Callithrix jacchus: one gene and its partner. The protein of the gene in region 2 interacts with the protein of the main gene of each other region in a pairwise test. Links are inferred from orthologs where the notes say so. Each region holds a gene or a part of one and is shown on either strand. Other genes may lie near its edges.

Region 1 (5,092 bases), on a different chromosome or scaffold from region 2:
GTTAAATATACCTTGATAAATTAAGTTCAAGTGTAACTACAATTGAAATATATGATTCAACTGAGCTATGACCTATTTTCCTCTCAAAAGCAAAAGGGAATTATGACAGTTGTGAGACTTACATTTTTCCATTTCATGGTCCTTCTAAAAGTTAATTTATTCTAGAACTATAAGCAAAGTACACTTAAGTGACACATATTTGCTTTAAAATAGTTATTCATGCCATTGCTCATAGGACAGATACAATTTTAATAGCAATGCATCAAATAATAATTATATCTGTCCATTTATTTTTAAACTGTGCAGACCAAGAGGGATTCAGGAAGGAAATAATCTCAATATGTAATATGATACCTAAGTCTAAAATTCTGTTATAATTACATGATATATTTACATACAACATAACCTATAATCAACATCACAAATACAAAATTAACCAATATATGTGGTTGAAAATACCCACCCCTAGCAGAAAGCTTTTTGGTGTTGATAATTTTGGCAGCATATTCTTGTCCAGTAGGAATTTTCATACATCTTCTCACCACTGAGAATGCCCCCCTGGAAACCAATAATTAGCAGGTCATTAATATAACAGATATAATATTCCATTAAAAATGTATAAAATCTGAGCATTTTAATGTATTTTAGTGTGTTGTCAGTGAAGTACAGTGATATCCAGTAAATGAACAATTCTTCCTGGAAACCCATACTTTCTTTAATGTTGAAGAATAAAAGTAAATTTCATTTCACTGGGAGCACACATTATTAATCAACAAAATGAAAGGAACTGCCAATTATGACCGTTCTTGTTTGCACATGAAATCTGAAAATATTTTACAGTTCACACTCACAGCACCAAATGCTCTGAGAAAAACCCTGCCCAGAATAGAGCAGAGGAGGAGCCGCAAAAATATCTGCTGCCTACTTGTTTTGGTAGGAAACAAAAATTAATGTGGTTCCAAATAAGTCAACATGGCGATTATTTTCAGTAAAATATAAATCTTGAGCACATTAGTGTGGTTTAACGAGTCTTGGTATAGTGATTTCTCTATGCCTTGTTTTGCTCTGGGGGAAGGGAGATATTTGAATTAAGCTGCTCTTCCGACATATTCTCCATGTTTTAACAGCAGACAATATATACATATATAATTTTCATTACCTTTAAAAAATATTTACCTTTCCTTTAATTACAGTATAAACCAACAACATACATATAAACGCACTCCTTTTATAAAAGTAACAGTCGAAATTAGTGAAAGAGAAATTGGGTTTGGGTTCGACGCTACAAAAATCAGCATTCTCGGCTTGGCCCCTAGGTTCCTTTGCACAAGTCCTCAGTAGGGTCTCCTGTCTCCTTCCCTAACACCTCCAAATAGTTCTGCCAGTCAAGTGAAGGAGTGGCTTTACACAATGCTAGGCTACTCTTAAGAGCGCTCTCAGTCACCAGAGGGCTTTTCCGCTGCCTATATAAATAAATCCTAGAGAATGCAAAGATGCACACGCAATTCCTAGGAAGAATGATGGTGAGCGAGTAATCTGGTGCAAAGAATAACAGTGGCTATAGGGCAAGGGGCTGGTCCTGTTGGGTGGCCCTTTTCCTGGACAGAACAACTACTGGATGCGAAATAGACTCTATGCCAAGTAGAACTTTCGGCATCAATAAATATGGCACCGTCTGAGGCTGTGAGTTCTCATCAGTAGGTGGGTCATACAGCCCACACACCGGCTAACCAGGAGGCATCCCTATTTACAGAAAACATGATCTATGTTGCATTTTACATGGGTTCTAATTTCCTCTCCAAACACATATTACACACAGGCGCGCGCGCACACTTCTCAGGATGACAGCTACAACTGCAGAGATCGTAAATTCACCAAGTCTCTCAGTGCAGGAGGGTGGGGGAGCGGGAGAAGGTGGGCTAGGGACTATTAAAATGAGCCATAGTCAGGGTAAGGATCCTACCCCTTCTGTGCTCCCTCCCCTCACTAAGCACCTTCCCCAGAGCTGACAAACCAGGGGCCCTCCTCCCACTCCTCTCCCAAACTCCCTCGCCCCACAACGGAGGCCCGTGGGTCTGGGCAACGCGACCCGCCCTCAGCTGGAAAGGGGACGTGCAGATGCCGAGCAAAGGCGCTTACTTTCCAAGCTCCTCGAAAAGCTGATACTCGTCCGTGAACCTGGTGCAGGTTGTGGTCGAAGCCATCCTCGGTCCGGACTGTGCCCTGGCTGAGAGTGCGACGGGGGAGAAGAGAGCAGACACGCGGCTAACCCCGGGACTGGCCCCGCGGCGCTGTCACCCAGGGCCGCCCTTACTTTCCTAGTCCGAAAGTAGCTCGCCCGCGAGGGAGTGTGCGCAGGGGCGGGGCGGGAGGAGAGATGACCAGAAAGGGTGGCGTGGGGTCTCCTCCCCACGGTCCGCCGATCCTCCGCCTCCTCCTGCGGGCCTTCTCCACTGGACGGTCCACCAGCCCCTTTTCCTTCCAGTCCCTGTCCCCAAATGCAGGGGGTAAAGTACTCAAGAAGAGGGGGCCGGGATATGGAAAAACAGCCGGGCACGGGGCGAGTGGCGAGCGGTTGCGAAACGATCCGCACTGGGGCAGGAGGGGCAGAAGCGAGGGGAGGGAGTCCGAGGGGGCGGAGGGGGAGTGCAGCAGGGCCGAGGCCGTGGAGCCCGGAGCGGACAGCCGGAGCCCAGCGGCAGCTGTCAGCAAGCTCAGGCGCGGAGCGCGCCGGAGCTCGGGAGAGCGTGCGCGCCCAGGACCGGCTTCCCGTCAGTGGGCAGCAGCGGCTCCGGCGAAGCCAAGCACCTTGGCGGCCTCGCGCTGCTCACGAGCCCGCGCGGCTTCAAGACGGCGCGGCAAGAGAAACAGCGCTCGGCTCGGGCGAAGCCTCCTCTGCCGTCCCCAGGCCTCCGTCTCCTCCCCCGGCGCCTCCTCCCGCCGCTCCCTCCGCCTGCCAGCACCCCTCACAGGCGAAGCCCCCTCCTCGCTGGTACCACACCTCCCTCTAGCGACTCCAAGCCTGTCCCTTCGTGGATCTCTCGCTCTCCCTCCTTCGGTCGCACACACGAGCACACCCGTCTAGGGAGAAACCAGGTGGATGGAGGAGGATGTGCGGGGGAGAAGCCTGGAGGTTTGGGTGAATGAGGCGAGACGTCACAGTTGCCCATTTCAACCCGCTCCCAGAAGCCTCCTCAATCTGGGACTGACTGAGTATAAAGATGCGGGGCAACTCGAGCACGGCCCGAGGCCGCCGCCCAGGGTCATGGAAGCTCACGCCCCTGTTTTGGGCGCTAGGCAGCAGGGACTTCTCCAGGCCAGCTACCGGGCCACGACCCTCGGCGTGGCCGAGTAAGGGAGAGCAACGGCTTCTCCGCGCCGCTCAGTGTTGACACAGCGGGGACCGGATGTGGGCAGTACCTTGCTCTCAGAGAAGGTCCCAACCCTTCCCACAGCCTCCGGCGACTGTCGGGGCGCAACTCTGCCTCAGCAGCGTTCACTGCGTCGCCCGCTCCCCAGCGCCGGGCGCAGGTTTTCTCCCTCCCCCGCAGCCCCTTCTGCAAGGAGCAGTGACGGCCCTGAGCCACATTTCACTTAAGATTTGACTGCCACCTCCAGGCCCACCTCCCCCGCTGTTTTCCAGGATGGTGGCTGAGACCCTGGCAGTCCCCAAAGGTCTTTGCTTTGGGTGTGAACGTTAAAAGAACGAAAGCAAAAACTCCGCCACTCAACCACACCTTCTCTTCCCTTCCCTTCTGAGTAACTCCCCAGTAACCTCAGTAAGTTCTGATAGTAAGACGGGTTCTCGCGAGATTTCCCACTCTGGCTGACGGGGCGAGGTAGTAGGAAGGTTGGGTGTCGGTCACGCGACTCGGTGGGGGCTGACGTAATTCACATCACGTGAACATGTCTAGCCTGTTTCGCTTTGCAAAGGGAAAAGGAAAAGAAGAGGTTGTGTGTGCTTTGCTTTCGGCCAGATAGTGGCAATTGAGTGCACTCCGTAAATGGCTATCTGAAAAACCACTTAGCAGTTCAAGAATGTGTCCTTCCCTTTAGCATATCTGCCATTGTTTTAAGTAGGAGGGAAAAAAGTATGCATTACGTTTAAAGTAGATAAGTTATTGCCGATTGCTAGAACAACTTCTGGGCCCTCTCTCCAGTTCTCTTTAATAAAACTATGCAGTTACAAATTTAGATGCAGACCGAAAACAGCGTTATGGAAGATCTTTTTCAAATTATTGCCTTTTGTTCTATACCACGCAACTATAAAAACCTTGCAATCCTAATGCTAATTTGCTCGTCTTATTACTTCATGGACTTAAAATTTCACTGCTGAAAGATAAAAGATAACTTGCAGATACAAGAGAATCTAAGATTTAGAGGCGCTGTTGTGTACTCCCAGAGACTGCTCTTAATTAATGTTACTTTGTGGTCACAGATAATCCCAATTCCTTTATTTCCTGATCTGAGGGACACTTCTGCCAATGACTAAGCTTTTACTGAAGTACTAAAAATGTTCACAAATTTTAACGTTTATTACAACAAAATTGAAGTTCGTATGTGTTTTGATTTCCAGCCATAAAAGGGAAGCAACTGTAGTGCTATAGAAAACGATGATACCAAAACTGTGTAAAAGAAACCTGGTCTCTAAATATTAATAATTCGTCTATAAATTGGAAAGAAAAGAGCAATTTGGTCATGGCTAAAGATTTTTAATATCTGAACTGTTTACCAATTGGCTCCAAAATGATAATGAAATAATATTCCTTCTTGAATCTAAAAATGAAACAGAGAAAGTAAAATTGAAACAATAAATAAAGATAATAAAAAGTTTACATCAGGGAAGAAAATTGTTTCTTAAATATTCAAGTAATGATATCTACATAATTACAGTATTTATCTGTTATTTAAACTACCAATAATTGTAAATGGTTTTAATTGTGCAGTACAATAAAGAAAACATAACTGAATTTTAATACTGATATATTATTAGATAATAATGTACATTTTGTACAGCAAACATTGCTTAATCTGTAGTGCTCTTTCTTTGATTTATATTTTAGACTAATTAAAATATTTCTCTTATTTGAAC
Region 2 (4,380 bases):
CTCGTCATGGTCCTGGGTCCTCTGCAGCATGTACTGTAGCGGGGAGGATAGGCTGAGGCCTGGCCAGGCTGGGGGTGGCTCCCTGACCCCTGCCACCAGCCCCCTGCCTGCCTGTCTGGGCTGGCCTTGACCATGCACACCTGGATGATGCTGTGCATGTGGGGGATGAGCCTGTCGATCCGCACTTCCAGAAGCATCACCAGGGCGCGGCACACATTCTTTCGCACCTCAGGGTCATCGTCCACAGCCAGGGCAAATAGGTGCTGCAGGGAGGAACAGGGTCAGCTGCAAGGGTCCTGGGTCCTTGCCCTGCCCACCCCCAGCCCAGCGGCCCACCTCGATGAAGGTGTCGATATTGTCCATCAGCGCCTGGGCCCGGTCCATGATGAACTGGTTCACACAGGCGATGGCATGGGACCTGGCGGGGAGCAGACACAGGGGTCACCCCTGACTCTGCCCACTCCAGGCTCCCTGGAAGCCCCCAGGAAGCTGTACCCACCGGATCTTGGGACTGCAGTGCTTAAAGAACTGTAGGAACTTGGGGATCATGATGTTGAGGGGCCTGTTGAGGGCATCGCTGTCCAGAAGCTCTGATGAGTCTTCGCAGATCTTCTGCAGGGCTCCAAAGGCTCCCTGAGTGCAGAGGGACAGAGAGACAGAGGTGGGTGGTGGTCCGGGCCCCCCATACCCGCTCTGGCCATCCATGGCTTCTCACCCACCTCACAGGTGTTGTAATCCTCTGAGTTGAGCAGGTTGCACAGCTGCGGCAGCAGCTCAGGCCACATCTGCAGCTCACCCTTGGAAGCGATGGTGGTGATGAGAATCCCTGCGGCGGCCGGGAAAGGACGCTGCCTGAGGCTGGGCGGGGGCTGCCCGGCACCTCCCTCTCCCACTGGGCACCCCCAGAGCTGCCTTTCTGTCCCCTAGCCCATGTATGCCCTATATATCCCTCTCTCATTTTTTTTTTTTAAGAGATTAAGAGTTTGCTCTGTTGCCCAGGCTAGAGTGCTGTGGCATAATCACAGTTCACAGCAGCCTCAAACTCCTGGCCTCAAACCATCTTCCCACCTCAGCCTCCTGAGTAGCTGGGACTGCAGGCACATACCACCATGCCCAACTAATTTTTTTTTTTTGACATGAAGCTTCACTCTGTCACCCAGGCTAGAGTGCAATGGCACAATCTTGGCTCAACACAACTTTCACCTCCGAGATTCAAGCAGTTCTCCTGCCTCAGCCTACTGAGTAGTTGGGACTACAGGCAAGTGCCACCACACCTGGCTCATTTTTTGTATTTTTAGTAGAGACAGAGTTTCATCACGTTAGCCAGGATGGTCTCAATCTCCTGATGTGGCCTAGGACTCCCAAAGTGCTAGGATTACAGGTGTGAGCCACTGCACCTGGATTTTTTTTGTTTTGTTTTATTTTGTTTGAGACGAGGTTTCGCTCCTGTTGCCCAGGCTAGAATGCAGTGGTGCGATCTCGGCGTACCACAACTGCCACCTCCAGGGTTCAAGCAATTCTGCTGCCTCAGCCTCCCAAGTAGCTGGGATTACAGGCATGTGCCAGCACACCCAGCTAACTTTTTTGTATTTTTTAGTAGAGACAGGGTTTCTCCATGTTGGTCAGGCTGGTCTTGAACTCCCAACCTCAGGTGATCCACCTGCCTCAGCTGCCCAAAGTGCTGGGATTACAGGTGTGAGGCACCACTCCCAAGTATCACCCGCCTAATTTTTTTTTGAGACAGAGTCTCACTCTGGAGTGCAGCGGCACGATCTCAGCTCACTGCAACCTCCACCTCCCCAGTTCAAGCAATTCTCCTGCCTCAGCCTCTTGAGTAGCTGGGACTACAGGCACTTGCCAGCACGCCTGGCTAATTTCTGTATTTTTAGCAGAGATGGGGTATCACCATCTTGGCCAGGATGGTCTCGATCTCTTGACCTTGTGATCCACCTGCCTCGGCCTCCCAAAGTGCTGGGATTACAGGCGTGAGCCACTGCAGCCGGCCAACCACCCGACCAATTTTTTAAAATTTTTGTAGAGATGGGATCTCGCTACGTTCTCCAGGATGGCCTAAAACTCCTGGCCTCGAGCAATTCTCCTGCCTCAGCCTCTAAAACCACTGGAATTACAGGCATTAGCGACTGCTCCTTCCCTTGACATAGGTAGAAAGGGTGCTCTTTGACTCAGTGAGCACCCTGAGCCTTACTGTGAGCCAACTCCGTTCCAGGTCCTGAGGCGCAGCCCAGAGCAAAACACAAAACCCCCACCCCTGGAAGTGGGAAGCAAGCCATGAAGTAAAAAATTAGCCAAAAAACTGGGAGAGGATGGGCACAGTGGCTCACACCTGTAATCCCAGAACTTTGGGAGCCCAGGTGGGTGGTCAGGAGTTCAAGACCAGCCTGGCCAACATGGCGAAACCCCATCTCTACTAGAAATACAAAAATTAGCCAGGTATGGTGGGGGACGCCAGTAATCCCAGCTATTCAAGAGGCTGAGGCAGGAGAATCGTTTAAAGTGAAGATCATGCCACTATACTCCAGCCTGAAATGGAGCAAGACCCTATGTCAAAAAAAAAAAAAAGAGGGCCGGGCGTGGTGGCTCATGCCTATAATCCCAGCACTACTAAAAATACAAAAAGTGAGCCAGGTGTGGTGGCACTTGCCTGTAGTCCCAACTACTCAGTAGGCTGAGGCAGGAGAACTGCTTGAATCTCGGAGATGAAAGTTGCGTTGAGCCAAGATTGTGCCACTGCACTCTAGCCTGGGTGACAGAGTGAAGCTTCATGTCAAAAAAAAAAAAAATTAGTTGGGCATGGTGGCATGTGCCTTCGGCTTTGGGAGGCCAAAGCGGGTGGATCATGAGGTCAAGAGATCGAGACCATCCTGGTCAACATGGTGAAACCCCATCTCTACTAAAAACACAAAAATTAGCTGGGCATGGTGGTGCACGCCTGTAGTCCCAGCTACTCAGGAGGCTGAGGTAGGAGAATTGCTTGAACCCAGAAGGCGGAGGTTGCGGTGAGCCGCGATTGTGCCATTGCACTCCAGTCTGGGTAACAAGAGTGAAACTCCGTCTCAAAAAAAAAAAAGAGAACTGAGAGGGGCCACATGCCAAGGACTAAGAGGGGTAACACAGCAGAAAAGATGGTGAGAAAGGACTGTAGGTGAAGGTAGCAACTTTAGATTGGGTGGCCAGAGCAGGCCTTGTTAAGGTGACATCTTGATATCTGAACCAAGACCTGAAGGAGGTGAAGGAGGTCTGGGAGGAATCATCCATGTTCCTGGGAAAGGGCATCTCAGGCAGGGGAATCTACGGTGCAAAGGCCTGGGGTGAGGACAGGCGTGGTGTGCTAAGAGACGAGTGAGGAGCCACTGGGGCTGGGCAGAGACTGGGCGGAGGGAAGAGGGAAAGGAGGTAAGGGCAAGAAAGTGGCAGGGACGGTTTGTACTGCCTATTAGCCATCCAGGAGTTACATACAGCAAGCATCTGAGGTGCCAGGGCAGGGCAGTGCACAAATCTGGTGACAGAAATGGATTCTGTGAAGTACAGAGAAGACATTTGCTGCCAGGAGATGGCAGTGTTTCCCAAAGGTGGAAACTAAATGGCAAAAAGGTGCTCCCTGCGGTGGGTAGGTACCCACTGAGGACTGTGTAACTTCAGCTCAGCCACATCACCTCATTATCTGTGCCTCAGTGCTTTCAGCCCTCAGAAGAGATCAAGAAAACCACCCTCCTAAGGTTAGCAGTAAGTTTCTTTCTTTTCTTTTCTTTTGCTTTTTTTTTTGAGACGAGTCTCACTCTGTTATCCAGGCCAGAGTGCAGTGGCACGATCTTGGCTCACCGCAACCTCCACCTCCGGCGTTCAGGTGATTCTCAAGCCTCAGCCTCCTGAGCAGCTGGGATTACAGGCGCACACCACGATGCCCAGTGAATTTTTGTACTTTTAGTAGAGATGGAGTTTTGCCATGTAGGCCAGGCTGGTCTCGAACTCCCGACTTCAGGTGATCCACCCACCTCAGCCTCCCAAGGGGCTGGGATTATAGACGTGAGCGCCCGGCCTGATTATCAGGAAGTTTCAATGACTTAGCCCAGTGCCTGGCACCTAGAATGAGCTCAGAAAGTCCAGATCCTTCTGGTGGCCAGGGAAGGGGTTTTTGCAGGAATAAAAGTCACTCTTTTTTTTTTTTTTGAGACGGAGTTTCACTCTTGTTACCCAGGCTGGAGTCCAATGGCACGATCTCGGCTCACCGCAACCTCCACCTCCTGGGTTCAGGCACTTCTCCTGCCTCAGCCTCCTGAGTAGCTGGGGTTACAGGCACGCACCACCATGCTCAGCTAATTTTTTTTTGTATTTTTAGTAGAGACGGGGTTTCACCATGTT

What was found. The genes of interacting proteins can lie anywhere in the genome.
Region 1: the proteins of TNPO2 (region 2) and CAMK2D interact in binary tests that used the Homo sapiens proteins (3 or more experiments, as listed by UniProt). The two-hybrid records come from large-scale screens. The link is inferred for Callithrix jacchus from reciprocal best matches to the Homo sapiens genes TNPO2 and CAMK2D.

The regions. Positions count from the first base shown.
Region 1 is NC_133504.1:83,419,565-83,424,656, reverse strand, and holds the start of CAMK2D (calcium/calmodulin-dependent protein kinase type II subunit delta), read right to left. Parts: upstream 3,396-5,092; 5' UTR 3,171-3,395; coding exon 3,002-3,170; intron 2,870-3,001; exon of another isoform or gene 2,228-2,869; coding exon 2,140-2,227; intron 559-2,139; coding exon 464-558; intron 1-463. UniProt on the Homo sapiens protein: Calcium/calmodulin-dependent protein kinase involved in the regulation of Ca(2+) homeostatis and excitation-contraction coupling (ECC) in heart by targeting ion channels, transporters and accessory proteins involved in Ca(2+) influx into the myocyte, Ca(2+) release from the sarcoplasmic reticulum (SR), SR Ca(2+) uptake and Na(+) and K(+) channel transport.
Region 2 is NC_133523.1:11,532,503-11,536,882, forward strand, and holds part of TNPO2 (transportin-2), read right to left. Parts: intron 827-4,380; coding exon 720-826; intron 634-719; coding exon 500-633; intron 419-499; coding exon 337-418; intron 264-336; coding exon 141-263; intron 34-140; coding exon 1-33. UniProt on the Homo sapiens protein: Probably functions in nuclear protein import as nuclear transport receptor. Serves as receptor for nuclear localization signals (NLS) in cargo substrates.